2 linked regions of the Lytechinus pictus genome follow. The protein of the gene in region 1 interacts with the protein of each later gene in a biochemical or structural test. Links are inferred from orthologs where the notes say so. Each region holds a gene or a part of one and is shown on either strand. Other genes may lie near its edges.

Region 1 (8,463 bases):
CGAAGCTTCTCACTGAACGGGGACTTCCTTCCACCACACGTTTTCCCATTGACACAATAACAAATGACTCGGACACTTTTTCAAACGACAATAATAGTCTTTTTCTTTTCTCTCCTGTGGATGTATATTCTTCCATGTTGATGAAACAATGATCAAAAACACTAAATGAAACAAAATTAATCACATTAAAAGCACTATTTAACTGTCTAATTACTCCTCGTGATCCGAGTCCCCTTCCCGTGTTGAGACTGCCAATTTCCCATAGAAGGGGACTCGGATAACGAGTAATAGTACTCTTCGTTATCCAAGTCCCCTCCTATGAGAAATTGGACAGTCTTAACACGGGAAGGGGACTCGGATCACGAGGATTAATTAGACAGTTAAATAGTGTTTTTAATGTGATTTTCATTGATTTTAATGATTCTTATTATCGAAAATATTCATTTATCATCTCTAGGAAACTGTCTAAAATTGGCAGAGTGGTTTTGAAGAGGAGGGAAATGAGGGGTAGATGAATATCAACGGGTTAATTGCCGTTTTGTATTTTTAAGAGAGGGGACTTGGATCACGAGTAATAGTACTCCTCGTTATCCAAGTTCCCTCCTATGAGAAATTGGACATTCTTAACACGGCAAGGGGACTCGGATCATGAGGAGTAATTAGACAGTTAAATAGTGTATTTAATGTGATTTTCATTGATTTTAATGATTTTTATTATCGAAAATATTCATTTATCGTCTCTAGGAAACTGTCTAAAAGTGGCAGAGTGGTTTTGAAGAGGAGGGAAATGAGGGGTAGATGAATATCAACGGGTTAATTGCCGTTTTGTATTTTTAGGAGAGGGGACTTGGATCATGAGTAATAGTACTCCTAGTTATCCAAGTCCCCTCCTATGGGAAATTTGACGTTTTTAAAACGGGGAGGGGACTCGGATCATGAGTAATTAGACAGTTAAATTGTGTTTTTAATGTGATTTTCATTAATTTTAATGATTGTTATTTTTTCATATATTCATTTATCATCTCTAGGAAACTGTCTAAAAGTGGCAGAGTGGTTTTGAAGAGGAGGGAAATGAGGGGTAGATGAATATCAACGGGTAAATTGCCTTTTTATTTTAGAGGGGGGACTTGAATCATGAGGAGTAATTATACAGACATTCTTTTTACCTAACGAAATAAAGCAATGGAGACTGTTAAGAGGGAGATGCAATTCGATTTATTTAGTAAAAACGTGATAGACGAAATAAAGCAAAATAATAAGAAACATATATATGAAAAGAGATTCATTTAGCATAAAAAGTATGACGAAATAAAGCTATAACTCAGTATAAGGACTGAAAAATAGTAGATGCAATCCTGATTTATTTAGTAAATTAGGAATCAACAAATAAAGCAATGGAGACTGAAGAGGGATCTAGGCCTAGGGCCTATTGATTTATTTAGTAAAAACGTAGACGAAATAAAGCAAATTTTATATTGTGAGAAACATAAAAAAGATGAATATAATCCTGAATAAAGCAATAGAGATTGAAAAGAAGTAGATGCAATTCTGATTTATTTAGTAAATTAGGAATCAACGAAATAAAGCAATGGAGACTGAAGAGGGATAGGGCTTATTGATTTATTTAGTAAAAACGTAGACGAAATAAAGCAAGTTTGATATTGTAAGAAACATAAAAAGATGAATATAATCCTGATTTATTTATATGAAAAGTAATAGTTTACGAAATATAAAAGCAATAGAGAATGTAGACCAAAAGCTTCGGTCTCTGTTATGTTGGTTGTTCCGCTGAACTACGTTGGCTCCACTCACCAAATACATAGACCGAAGTTAAACCGTCGTCTGTACAGGGGCTCAATGGCCACCGCTAATTTCTTGTTTTTCTCCTCGATACCGCGATATTTTCCACCAAAAGTTCATACATATGCACCTATAGCTGAAAATGTATAAGTAACGACAGTTTCTTACCCTAAATTCCCGCTTTAAAACTGGCAATCAGGGGATTAACTCTGAAATTTGACACTTGCGACTCGGACTAGTGGGCAGCCATCTTGGTAATGAATAATTCATGAAAAAGTGGCCGACGAAAGTCAGACTCCGCCCCATGACCTTTACGTCACACATTACAGAAGGGGAAAGAAAGGAGCAGTTAAAGAAACAAAAGAAAAAAGGGGAAATAAAAATTAAAAAGAAAAGTAAAACAAAAAAGAGAGAAAACGAAAGAGAAAGAGATAAAGGAAAATGAAAAAAAAACATCTAGAATTTTAGTATTCATAAACCCGACGTAAAAGAGATGATCTGATTGGCCAATGGTTTTGATACGCAGTTGACCCGGAAGTTCTTCCAACGGCATATGTTTGTGTGTTATATCGACTTCGGATGAACGAGTGAACTAGGAGCTACACGACAGCCGAGGTAAGTCGCTGTTTTTTTTCCTTTTGACTTTATTTTTCCCTCGTTTTTGGCAATTAATGCCAAGAGGGAACATTAATTCGCATATTTGTTCATTTATTTTCATATATATTTATGAAATAAAGACAAAAATCGATGAGCCCCGTCGGGGGGAATTTGCATTGTACCTCCCCTAATGGTGGCGACACGCTAGCGAGCCGTCTGTGTATGAGGAGAAATTTAAAAAAAAAAAAATGTTGAAAAACTCCTCGAAACAGACGGCTGCCAGCTGTCTATAGAGAATGATGCAAATTCTGATTTGCTACGCCAATAAAGTGGAGACTGAAAAGAGACAAGTGACACACAACTACGAGTACGAGTACGAGGTTGGTAGAGACAGGTAGGACATGTTTTACGTTGTGGAAAATTGTCCGTGGATCCGATTCACCGGGAATTGGATCACGATAATGCCAAAATAAACTTAAATTAAGGGGAAAAATCAGTGACTTACTTCGGCTGTCGCGCAACTTCACTTCCCTGTTTTATCCGAACTTAATACATAAACATATGGCCAATGAGTCCCCTGGCATGCCTGGCCCTGTACAGATCGAGCTAGAAGTAGAACAGTCATGACAGTAGAAGTAGAACTTCGGTCTCTTGAGTCTTGTATTTGGTGAGTGGAGCCAACACTAACAGTAACAGAGTTCAGCGGAACAACCTTTGATTTGAACCAACAAGCAACATATTAACAGAGACCGAAACTTTTGGTCTCATATTGACCTTGAACTGTGACCAAGTTTTCGACCAGTTAGTTTGAGTTACTGGTCGGGAAATTTGCTCGAAGTCGGCCGGTGCGAAAATGGGTTAAAATGCACTAGCGCAGCCGTGGAGACTGCATCAACGATCGATCTCAGCGGAGCTTTGCCGCCTCGGCTTCGGCATAGGCGGAGCTCATTCATTGTTATCTCTTCTTCCGCAGTGCACCCGCTCCAAAAAGGTTCTGCACGTAACCGTATGAATCTATAAAATCAACATTTACTCATCTATAAAGCATTCTAAATTTAATTCATTTCTAATAATGAAACTTCAAGGAAATTATTTTATCGATCTTACCGCCATAGTTTGAATTTCGAAGGTCCTTCCGATACAAAGAAACGTGCAAAATCAAAATTACTTTTTAGAAAATTGGCGCTAACGTGCACGCGACGTTAAGCTTATGGTGTCTTTCACTGCACTCCGTCTAGAAAAAATGAAAAAAAATACAACTTGCATCATTCTCTTGCTACTATACTGCAAATTCTAAACAGTTGCCGTGTTTTTTTTTTCTTTCTTTCAATAACATGTTTCCATGTATTCAGTGACAACACAAGGAACAACTCTCAATTTTCTAATGGTCATATTGACCATATTAGGTGTCAAGGTCGGGTCAATGGGGTAATTTTGGGGCCCTGATTTGGGACGTCAAATATGTAAAACTGAACGAAAAAAAGGTGTACACGCATCATGTAACCCTGAGCTTTTGTTTACTGCCTGAGAGGTCAAAAGGTAAAACAGAACTTTCATTGGAAGGCAAAGTCATAGTGCTAAATTCTAATTAGGCATTTTACCTTACCTCACCAGGCCGAGTTCATCCCATAGGTGGATGTAGCCCTATTCATGATCCTTCAAATTCCACGACTTTCTGTTCTGAGCATATATGTGACATCGTCCCGCCGCCAAAGACGTTTGTCTTCTTCTCTATCTTTTCCTGTCTCTTGGAATCCATTCTGATGATTCTGTGGCCATTTTTGACCACTTATCATCTTTCCTTTTCATTTGGTGTCCTGCCCATCTCCATTTTGCTTCTTTCACATTTTCCATATGATAGGTTTGTTTGTCTTCCAGTGCGTTTCTTATTTTGTCCCTTAGCGTAACGTAACGTTCAGCAATTTTCTCTCTATTGCCCTCTGTGATGTACTTATTTTTTTGTTCGAGTTGTTTTGTTGTTGTCCATGTTTCTGATCCATATGTCGTTGTTGGGATAGTAAAGGAATTGAATGGTTTCTCAGTACCATTGGTAACTAGTTGTTTAGCTCTTGGAAAGACAAATTAGGCCTCGATCTCTATCATTGTACCCAACTGCCCATTTTATTTTCTAGGAAGTATAAGTTTCGGGGACAAATACCTACAGCAAAACCAATTGTCACTTTTTCATCACCATTTCAGGTGAAAAATAATACATGAATAAAAAATAGATGGACAAATAAATAAATGGGCCCAAATTTATGATAACTTAGACTCTCTCAACAGGAGTGTATAATCACTTATGATTTGATTTAGATGAAAAGGACACAGAACCATCAGACTTGGCATGTTATGAAAAATATTTAGGCAAAATTACACCTTTTTTCAGAAGTGGCAATAAGTCATGGAGATGGGGGATTATGTGAAGATGATGCAGTTGTTTTTTCTGTTAGTTTTTTAAATATATTAACCAGCTATTTGACTTTTTTTTTTACTTAAATAATTTCATTTTTCACGTCATGACTGAGTGCAGGGGTGGGGCGTTAGGGTATTTTGATCTGCAAGACGACCTGACCGAGGCCCGACTTTTCTAAATGAGGCTAGAGGTATATAATATGGGAGTTACATAGCTTGCTTTTTCAGTACTCTTGTTCATTCTTTCTCCCTTTGTTTCTTAACTTCACATTCTGCATTCTTTGTAAACTTGGCATTTGTAAAATAAATTGATCTTATCAAAAATACTCCATGCCTGCCTGTAAGTATAAATAATGCCTATTTTTAAGTTTTTATTCATTCCAGCAACAGAGTGATAAAAGGATGGAAAAAATTTAAACAAGTAATTGTGACTGTTTATTTATCAAAATCACAGAAATCAATACTCAAGAAATTATGGCATTCCAGACATTCTATCTAATTAATGTGCAACAGAAATTTGCCGATATTAATGCCTCTCACATCTTCATCTCGCTCGCTCCTTTCACCCAAAGTCAATAACTCTCGACCCCCACCCCCTTCTCTCTCTGATGCTGGGTCTACATCTCATAAAGTTCTTTTCTCTCCCTATCTATCCTCCCTTTATACATCTCATCAAGTATATGTACCATCCCCCCCAGCTACAGCTATCTCCCTCCTTGACGGCCCCTTGTTCCCTCATCCATTCCCCCAAGTATCTTTTCCATCGCTTGTACCAACCCTCTCTCGCTACAATACAAATAAGTCAGTAGAAGACATTCTCAAAGTTCATTCTTGCTACATATATTTTCTCTATCCATAATTTGACAGCTAAAAATTTGCCATGTTACATATACTAGTATTTACAAACTGGTACATTTCAGATTTACATGCCTGTTGTTTGGTCACTATTGGATCATAATTGATGCACATCACTTACTTCTTTCTGCAAAGTCCAATGTCGTTTATCAATCAACAATGCAAAGGTCATATACCTCATACTACATTTAATTGACATAAATAAAATAGCAGGATAATTTAAAGAAATATATACATATATTTTTAATTTAGTTTTTATTTCGAGCCATGTTTTAATTCAATAGAATTACGTACCTTTGTTACTTAAGGGACTCTGTGCTTCGAACATATTTTGTTTATACTTAGTTCCTACTATGTATCATTATCAATGTAACACTATATTCTGTCAATTTATTTTTGTTATGCATGGCGAAAAATAAAACAAACAAATATCTTCTGAATTTCAAGTAGGAAAAAAAAATCAGAATGGCAAGGGAGATGCTTGGTCCTTAGAATGAAATGTTAAAAAATAGTTTTGTTTGTGTTTTCTTTTTAAAATATATATGTAATAACCAAAAGTTAAAGTCTCATTAAAATAATAATAACAATAATAATAATAATGATAATAATAATGAAAATAATAATAATTATCATAATTTATATAATGATAACAATAACAACAATAATGATAATAAATGAATAAACATTCATTTCAGCCAATAGAATTCAATATCATCCACATTGTAACAGTCTAAGACATATACAAATTCCTAAATGTGAGGGTTTACAATAAAAATACGAGAGAGGCTTGACACAAAGATCACAAACTTTTATAGTATAACACCATGCATTCATATAATTAATCATGTTGAAATATTGCAGCAATAGCGAGGTATACAACGGGTATTGGGACAGGTGTCTATGGATACCAATATTAATAGGCATAAAAGAAAATCTGATATACAAAAAGCATGACCATGGCATAAACAAATGACAAATGGCAAGGCAGTTATAAATATAAATTACAATGAGCTTTTAGTATATTGTTCAAATTATATATTTCGGTTTCTTTATTGTCCATGGCATTAGGTTAAATCTCTTTCTATCTGGTTAGACATACATACTTATGTGAAGTTATATCACTCACACTATTTACACAATAATAAAGTTGACAGAATATTTTTTTTGTAAAACAGATTCACACAGTAATGGAAAAACATTGAGAAAAAAATTACAAAAGCACCTGTAGGTAAGAAAAAAGATGAATTGACTAACTTGAACTTAAAGTGCATGAGTATTGAAATAAATAAATTTCACATTTCACATTTTAGTAACAAGTATATTCTAAGATGCAAAAGGTTAAAGAGATATTCAATAAAATATCAAGCTTCAGTCAACGCTGCCAATTATTGCTCAATTATCTCCAGACATATATTCTCTAAACTCTGAAACCATGAGTTGTTGATATAAAATTATACCCTACACTCTCATCACATCATCAATTTTATCCTTCTTCTAACGATATTCATAATCAAGATGACCATCTAACCAAAAATATTTTAAACATTTTACACATGCAGCATTTTTAACAATTCAAGTATATTTCATCATGAGCAGAAATATATATTTTAATTTACATATAAAGTATGTTAAATATCTGTGACTTGTAACATAAGGAATCACAATCAATATATTTACAATCAATTGTAATATTTTTGTACTTGATTTGCCATAGAGTTGAAATGATAATGGATTTTACAATTGATTTTAATCTTTCATGTTACAGGGTTTTTGGTCCCGATTCATACAGAGTTCTTGTAATAACAAATGCACAAATTCTATAACAAGTTGACTATTAGTTATTTTAAAGTTTTATGAAATGGATCACTGGAATGATACTGAGCAACCAGCACATTTTCAAACAGCTAATTAATAAACATCATTTATACATATACTTGAATTTGTACTTCCATTTCTTTTGACCATATGGGGGGTCGATAATAAAACAATAAAACGCAGTGGCAGATTATATATTTTGAATTGGAGGGGAATGCAAAGAGCAAATTTAAAAATAGAGGGTGTGCAGATCAAAATTTTCCTAGCTACATTAATATGTATAGTCAATGGTTGATTATCAAAATAAGGAGGGTTTTAGGTCAATTATGCCCCCACCTAGATCTGCTACTGTATAAAGTGACACAAAGAAGACAAAGATAATTTGGCAGACTAAGAAATCAATTCTATTTTTAAGGACTATTTTTATTTTTCACATTGGAGTGATTTCATAATTTTTTGGGCTTTACTTTCATTTGAAGGGCTACTTTCAGGGGTAAAAACTATTTTTGGGGGTACAATGCTCTTTGGGCCTGATGTTGCCATCATAAATGATGAAAGGTGGCCCGTGACTGCCACATAATAAACCATAATTGAATAACGTGACAATAGTAATTAGATGGAATGGGCAGTTAACCCAAACCACTTATAACCAGGGGCCGAATAGTGCAGTAAAAGCAAATATTATTCTTCTGCCAGTTAGAATGTTGATTTTTAAATCAATCTTAAATATTCTTTGGAACAGATCTTGGGGCGTCTATAGAAAGAATGGTTACCCCAAAGCATGTATTTGGGGGAATATTAGGGGCAATTAGGGCTGTTATGAGGGCAAAATCGCCCGTCGCCATCATGTATTCCCTACGCTGTAAATTGGACATACAAAACATAATATTATAACTAGCAGTAGTACATATTGAGACAAACTAAACTTTATACATGTGTATGCAGGTGCTGTTTTCATAAATTTCAAGACTAAAGAAAAGATAG
Region 2 (8,632 bases), on another chromosome or scaffold:
TTCCATCAGCTAAATTTAATTTTTGTGGATTGAAGTACTTGTCATCAGCAAGTATCATTAAATTTATCAAAATCAAGTTCCAAGTTTGTCACTAGTAAACTTAAGTTCAGTTTTCAGAACTTATAAAACTAAACATGTGTCTTATTTCTAACAGACAGTGCCTCTGTGATTTTTAGTGGATAATAATTTATCATGAGAAGTACTGAAAAGTCTAGAATATCATGTGAAATCACTTGCTTTCTAATGAAACTTGGCCTGAAGAAGTTTTTATTCTTATAACAACTGAACTAGACATTCTTCTTACATCTAACTTAATTTACTAATAATCACACTTTTTTTTTAATTTCTCAAAGTATATACAGTGTTAAAAATGTGTCTGTTGTGATAAATGCTGAAGTTTTAACCTCAATTTTGAGAGAAACCATGGGAAAATAAATATTCTGTCACTCACTTTTCTACAGATGCTTTTACATTTTATAAACCTCTATGGTAAACAAATGTGTTTTTCTCTCAAGTGCGAAGATGACTATTGTACCTTTGGAATGACGTCTTCATATTTCAAAATTTCATCTGCCAGTACATTCCAATAGGATCCCAAGGATTAATTAATCTAGACACCATAGGAATTATTGTATTCTACCTCTCATTCACATTCTCTTTACACTTACAATATATTCTTATTTGTTATCATGGTGGATTATTTTAGTTTAGAAGATGAAAAGTTTATGCAATTTGTTAGTGACTCAAAAGTGCCATTGTATTGCACCTTGAATAAAAAAAAAGAAGATAGATCTTGTTTATATAAAAAGGTTAAATAAAAAAAAAAGAATGTTTAACCGTCTAAGAGTGAAAGTAATAACTTATAAATGTAGGTAAAGACTCTTTATACATTCATAAGATTATATTATATGACATATTGTATCTTTCTAAAAGTGTAGAATGCAATGTACAAAATGTGATAGGTGGACTTTATAGAGGCATCTGAACTTGATTATTTCAAAGTATCTGATGATAAAGGATACAATAACGCTGAATATGTATGTTTGACTAATAAACAGTCATGGAATTCCTCTGTAAAAAAGAAGAAATAACAAACAGGCTTTTAAAAAAAATGTAAGTCATAAAATGTGTGGTAATTATTTTTTTTACTTTTGGTTTTGGATAAGTTGGCATGTTCATTTTATATATTTTTTAAGCATGCTTCTTTGACATGCAATGCAATATTTAAACTTAGATGAACCATTTCAAAGGTTTTTTGCTTCACAATGAAAGAAATAAAAAGATAGGATTGGTTGTGATAAATTTTCTATTTCACTGACAGAAGATGAGCAATACTTTGTGTTATATAGTTGGAAGCACTATGGTCAGGATTTGACAAGAATGATGGTATACTAGTATTCTGTGGCCCATTATTATGCCTAAAATACCTGCATGATTTTGTTTGGATTTTAGTTTTAAAAGATGGTATATTTTGTTACCCCCAATACCTTGATAATTTTATTTTTTAATATTTTATATTGCAAATACAAATCCCACCTTGATGTTGGGACTGGCACACATCCTTATGTGATTGGCTTGGTATAAAAGTCTAGACATGTCTTCAAGGGAGTGATTATGCAGGGGGGGGGGGGGGGGAGAGGCCGAAAAGTTTACCTGATATTAGATAGTTGGGCTTTTTATTGGAAGAAAAAGGTTTGCTCTTGTGATGAGTCTTGGCAAGACATCTAGGATAATGAGTCAAATTAGTGGTTAATTTCAATGTTAACGATCTATGTTTTGGGAATTTTAGCAAACAAGAAATCGCACTCCTATATATCTTAGTATATCACACCCCACCATTTTCCAGCTTACTTTAATTCAAATTGGGGGGGGGGGAATCAGGGCATCCAACTTTACTCATCACGTTCAAATATTTGGAAATGGCAAACAATATGTAAACAGCTTTTGAAATACATGAATATTCTATCATCTCTATCATTTCTTTTTTGTAGTTTGATGCTGACTTGCTTATAGCTTTACTTGAAAACTTGGTTGTGTCACAAGTTGAATACAGCCCTGCTATGGACCTTTTGAAATTCATTTCTATGCAAGTAATTATGCCTCGTAGAGATCTTATGCAAATATGAGTGGAGAAAATGTGATACATGTAGGTAGTGGTGATTACTGTGGTAGCTAATATTCAGTGCATTGTTTATACATGTATAGAAAAATGATTGATCGTAATTGCTGTGATTGATGGAATATGCATCATGTGACATGCAACAATTTTTAGATAGTGCACAATAATGCACTAGCTCCTGTGTTGATTAATGTACCTTAATTTTTTTTTTAGATAATACATTTGGTTATGTTTGTGGGAATTTTGGAATATATATTTTCTTTCAAGGAAAAAACAGTATTTAACTCGACGTAATGATCAAACTCGTAATTCATTTGGTTCACTTATTAAAATCATAGTAAGTTCCCTTATGCAGATGTCTTGTTGTGGCCAATAGGTTTATCTTCAATTTCACATGCTATTAGAACTATCACATTTTCTAAATACGGTAATACACAAAGATTGGACTGCATGGAAACTTATAATTCACTTAAAATACTGTTTGCAAGTTGGTTTAAAGTATATCAAAGCATGTTCATTGTAAGGACTAACAAAGTTTTTTGGGTGTAATTTCTTTCACACTATATGACTGCATTTTAATATGCTTGGTTTTAAAGGGATAAGGGGGCAGGTCACATGTTCACATAAAATGACACTGGGGGAGAACATGTACATTTGTTCACTTGGTAAAAATGCATTTGAATATTCTGGGCATAAAGCACAGAGAGTGACTCCTAAAAATGTAACTTTGCATTTCCCTCCATGATAGCCTTATTTGGTATATAACCTTAAAGGAGAATGAAACTCTTGGAGCAAGTTAGCTTTTGTGAAAGCAGAAAAATCAAAGAATAAGATCAACAAAAGTTTGAGTAAAATAGGACTAGCAATAGAAGAGTTATGAGCGTTTGAATGTCGAGATCACTAATGCTATGGAGATCCTCCCATTGGCAATGCGACCAAGATCTATGATGTCACAGATGAACAACTCTCCCCTTTTGGACACTGAAAATATACCCCAAAACATCTCTTTTTGCTCATTCTAATCATATGACAAACGATTCATCAATGATATAATGTTGTGAAACCTCTGTAATTGTCCTCCCATATATAAAGAGAACACCTCACCTTGTGATAGACTCTATAAAAGTGAGAATATAAGTGAAATAAGTACTAAAGTAATGAGGGAGTTGTACGTGTGTGACATCACAGATCTTGGTCGCATTGCCAATGCGAGGATCTACATGGCATTAGTGATCTCAATATTCAAATGCTCATAACTTTCTTATTATTCATTCAATCTTCCTCAAACTTTCAACAATAAGTTTCTTTGATTTTTCTCTTTGATATGGATTCAGCTGGTTCCAAGGGTTTCATTCTCCTTTAAAAGATTTTCACTTGTGTAATTATACACCACATTATAAATGGCAAATTTCAAATGATAAATGAATAGGTATACATGTACGGTGTTGTTATTGGCATCAATTGTGATTATAAAAGCCTTTGGCGGAAGGGGAATAGTATATATTTTTTAAAAGTGACAATAACATCACTTGATATTCTTAGAAATCATTTGATGACATAAAATAGTTAAAGTGAGAGAACGGTTTTCTGGCTATAAATAGTTTCATGACCACTTTTGAAATTTATACCAGGGGCCCGTAACACAAAGCTTGGCAATGTTCATAGAACATTTTTCTACGTTTGATTGCATTGACTACTTGTAGTACAATCAATCGTAAAAATCAAGTGTACGATAATCGCAACTCTTTGTGTTACGGGACCCAGGACAGTGTATATGTATATAGAATGGAAGACTTTATTGGATTTTAACCAACAACTGAAATGTAAATTGTAATTTAGTGGTTGAGAGATATAAAACTCTTTATGACTGTGTTCAGTGTAATATACATTTTATATAAAAGTTGTGTTTTTAATAGTTTTGATTGTGTGTTCATATCATGTAGGTTCTACGCATTTTTATATCTTCTCTTTATAAAGTGACAGAGGTCTCCTTGAACAGAATTAGGCACAGAGTTCATTAAAGTAAATGATGTAGCTATATGTATAGTTTGTGTATCATATTGTACAGAGTTTTGAGTTCATCTCTATGATTGTGAAAAGGCAGTGGCTGATGATGATGATAATTTTGATATTTTTTACTTAAAAGGAAGGTACTAAAGGAAGGCCCAAAGACGTGGGGCTTTTCTTAATACAGTAGCTAGCATGACTGTGGATATTCATGCACTTAATTACACTGAGAAACAGAGCTGAGAAGGATATTCAGAAGAAAAAAGAGAAAAGAGGAAATGCAGTGGGAGAAAAAAAGGAATAGACCCATTAGTGAGTGTGGGACATCATAAAAAATAAACAAAACTTTTAAATGTCATAACTTTCTTATTTAACATCAAATTTTGATGGAATTGTCAGTGTTATGCTTGTTTGATGTTTCTGTCTTGATTCAAATCAACTTTTTTGGGGGTGCGGGACTTGACCTTTAAAAAATAAATAAATATATGCTTGATATGATGCTCTGCACAATACCTGGACCAGCATTGATCAAGATTACAGTACATTGCAGATGATTTTATATAAGAGGGTAAAGAGGTATTCTTGTGACAAATAAAATTAGGGGGGGGGGGTTGATATGAGCAAATTGAGTGACCTTGGGAAGGTGGGTTCGGGTAGATACATGGCCGTACACAGATTTTTATCCTGGGGGGGGGGGGGGGGCAGAGGCATATAAACATTTTTGAAAAAACTCAAAAGCGAGGAACCGTAAAGTGACCCGGCCAGCATGTGGGTTGTCTTGCGGCATTTTTTTAAGTGACGTTGAAGAAGTGTGTGCACACTGGATTAATTTTGTTTAAAAAAATCAGTAAAATTTACGTTTTCACAATGAAAGATGAATTGTATGTGTACATGATTCTCAATGAAAAAGCTTTATGATGAGATACAGAAATCTGAAGATGTATCTATAGTATAGGCAGCTGAGCTAGCAAGGGACACACACATGCGCGCGCATTGTACGCTCGATCGCTGGCTCTGTCTGTTATCTCTTCACTTATCTTTTTCCGATCCGAGGCGCCGTGTAGTGGTACCGAATGACTGCTTATCTGACGACTCGGAGCTGAAATAATTGTTTATTTCAAGCATAACTCTTCAATGTTTAAGTATGGCGACTTCGACTCTTGAAGCACTTCGAACTTCCAAGAAGGGGAACCTTATATACGACAAATATTGGCTCGAAGATGGACGTGTAGAGGTTTGTTTTATTTACGTGGTCCCATCAGTTGTTTTCTTTGTCATGTTTGTAATGTTAGATCGAGGGTTTTAGCTTCTAGTTCTACTGACAAGATCTACTCTAAACGTGGTCCCATCAGTTGTTTTCTTTGTCATGTTTGTAATGTTAGATCGAGGGTTTTAGCTTCTACTGACTAGATCTACTCTAAAACTACTAATATGTACTAGGGGCCTAAATCAAAGCTGCGGGCCGCGCGGAGCCGTGTGCACTCCTACTACCAATGAGGTCCAAACATTAACATGTATGGACCGGTTCCGGGACAGCCCGACCACCGGACAGCCCGACCCTGGACAGCCCGACCCGCTACCCTGGACAACTCGTCCCGGTCGAGTTGTCCAGGGTTGGCTCTGAATCGGACAACTCGACCACTTGAATTCTTCTTCAACATTTCATGAAATAATATTTCAAACTTTACTTCAAAAGTATTTCCCCGCATAATCCATGTTTCTACAATACATTCTCGACAGAAAATTTGACATTTCAGTGCATTTTGAGCTATTTTGAAAGAAAATAAAGCGAGTTCCCTTGCAACGAGATTACCGGTATCTTGATAAATTGATAATCCGATACCGCCGGCGAGCTGTGTTCAAATTCTGCAAATTTGAGTTGATTTTTCCGTCACTTGACATATTTTAATGATGAGGGTGTGCTATTTTGTATTTTCATATTCCATTTTCACATTTCCTCTACTTATTTAAAGTTATTCCATTTCACAAAACTGATACTTAATGCAAACTTTTGAGATAGTTCACCTGGAAAGGACACCCGATGCGGTGCTTCGCCTCGCAGGCCTGCTGGGCGACCGGCTGTGCTGTGATTGTGACTGAGTGTGGCACTCGGCTCAACTAGCTATGCGAGGTCAAACTTACTTATTTTAGTAAATTTTTCCGTCTCTTGACATATTCCAATGGCGAGAGTGCTATTTTTGTATTTTCACACTTCTTCCACTTATTAAAAAGTTTTTTTTTAATGTCACTAAGCTGATTATAGGAGTATAGGACAGTGAATGCGTGGTCGGAATGTGCTTCCCAAAACCATCCCTGACGCCCCTTTTTGGAGGCCTTCAGGCCAGGGGGGTGCTTCCAACCAACATATAAACAAATTAAGGAAATAGATTTGAAAATGTGTCAGTATGTAAGTTATGAAGTTTACAATTTTTTGTAGGAAAGTGTCTTTTTTACTCTTTATTGTTTATTTTTGTTCTTAAATAACTACCGCGGTATTACAAATTTTTATTGTTTTCTAAGTTTAGAGGAGCAGAATGGGGGTGCACAACTGACATAGATTGGGTAATTATAATTATCAAAATTTAAAAACTTAGTTTTGATATCAAAACGGAATAGTTTATTGAAAAAAGAAATGTATTCTGCCGAAATTCAAAAACTTAAAAAATTTTAATCAAAATCTAAAACTTGCCTTTCGTTATCGAAAAACATGTGTCTCATTTTTTACCTGTCGGTTTGTACTGTCACAACTTTTTTTTAATGCAACTTCCATTGGAAACAACGGGTCTTCTGGAGGATACCAGCACTTGGGCTGGTACCAACCACCTACACCCGGGATGAGGAGAAGAGGTTTCATACTCGACATGCGATGGTCTTTCCATTTCTTTCACGAGCAGAAATAATACCGAGTTCCAATGACTAATTGGGCATCAGAGCGGCAGTCCCTTGATCGATGAGGTAAATACAGCTTTTTAGATACAATAAAGCAATTTTTGTGCACTTCATGCAGGCATATCAAAGTTTGAAATATTATTTCATGAAATGTTGAAGAAGAATTCAAGTGGTCGAGTTGTCCGATTCAGAGCCAACCCTGGACAACTCGACCGGGACGAGTTGTCCAGGGTAGCGGGTCGGGCTGTCCAGGGTCGGGCTGTCCGGTGGTCGGGCTGTCCGGACCCCGTATGGACCTCATAGGCGACAATGCGTTAAAAACAGGTTAGAACTTCTAAACGTACTGTTTCCTGCACCCAAGTATGATATTACTCCCAAAATATGAGTTTTGTCCTCGTTTGTTTGTCATTTATTAAAAGATTGCCCATTAAATATATTCCTATTCCTAATTTGAATTTAATAAAATAAAGGGAAACTTACATTCGAGTCATTTTTCGATCTTTTTTTGGCAGTCAGTCCGGTCACCGTCGAGTGCGATCAAAGCGGTATGAAGCTAATTTTCAGATCACGTGATACGTGTGGTCATCACCTGATCAATCGACTATCCTTTTTTAAAGACCGCAACAATCAGTAGAGGCGCACGGCCAATATGGGAGACTCTCTCCAATAGGGGAGACAATCTCCCACATTGGAGACTTGCTTTGCAAAAGGACAAAAGAAACAACACCAACAAAAGCATGATTTTTTCCACCCAAAATTTTGTCTCACTGAGGTCAGAAGCCCATTTGTTTTGTGTATGATTGACAACAAAAATCCTTATCAAAACAAAAGTAGACGGTGAATTTTTAAAGTAGACGGTGAAAAGGGGTAATTTTTCATGAGGAATCTGCTTATCACATTTTTATTTGCCGCCAAGTTAATCCTTTTGCAGCAAATGTAAACAAAGGAAATTGGACTCCAAAACTGGAGACTGTCTCTGAAATTGGATACCCAAATTCTTTACAAAAGTCTCTGATATTGGAGATAATCTCCCACATTGGAGACAGTCTCCAATATTGGCCGTGCGCCTCTACTGACAATAATAAATTTTATTATAAAATATATATAGAATGAATAATTGCATGATATTATATATATTTCTACAATTAAAAATATTTTGTGATATGAATTTAATATTTGACGTAAAAATCGCTATTTAACAAAATATCTATTAAAAATAAAAAATCAAACAAAATAAAAACGCCTTGGACACAGTGCAAAAAACCTAACAATTTGGCCGCGCTCTTAACAACTATCGTAAGGGGCGCTCTATTTATAAATAAAGTTGCATATGTAGTTGTCTACCGCGACAGGAACAGCCGCAGAATTGAAGCCAGAAGCGTGGGAAATTGCCAGAAAATTCAAGAAAAGAACCGGTGAGTACCGATTTAACAGTACTAATTTATTAAGTAACATTTATTGAATCATTACAAGATTTATTTTTTAGTAAAACAAAGCTTAGTTCTAAGCTAGGGCGGCCCAAATGCGCGTGAGTGGAGTCCCAGTTTATTAGCACGGGTAAGTATTGGGGTGTCGCCTAGAGTGGCCGTGTGGGGGAGTTGGCATGTTGGGAGGCAC

The links.
Region 2: the proteins of nuclear pore complex protein Nup155-like (region 1) and mRNA export factor GLE1-like form a complex in vitro, tested with the Homo sapiens proteins (2 studies listed by BioGRID). The link is inferred for Lytechinus pictus from reciprocal best matches to the Homo sapiens genes NUP155 and GLE1.

Annotation. Positions count from the first base shown.
Region 1 is NC_087255.1:30,622,551-30,631,013, forward strand, and holds the start of nuclear pore complex protein Nup155-like, read right to left. Parts: upstream 3,623-8,463; 5' UTR 3,511-3,622; coding exon 3,505-3,510; intron 1-3,504.
Region 2 is NC_087246.1:15,032,110-15,040,741, reverse strand, and holds the start of mRNA export factor GLE1-like, read left to right. Parts: upstream 1-5,102; 5' UTR 5,103-5,270; coding exon 5,271-5,360; intron 5,361-8,632. UniProt on the Homo sapiens protein: Required for the export of mRNAs containing poly(A) tails from the nucleus into the cytoplasm. May be involved in the terminal step of the mRNA transport through the nuclear pore complex (NPC).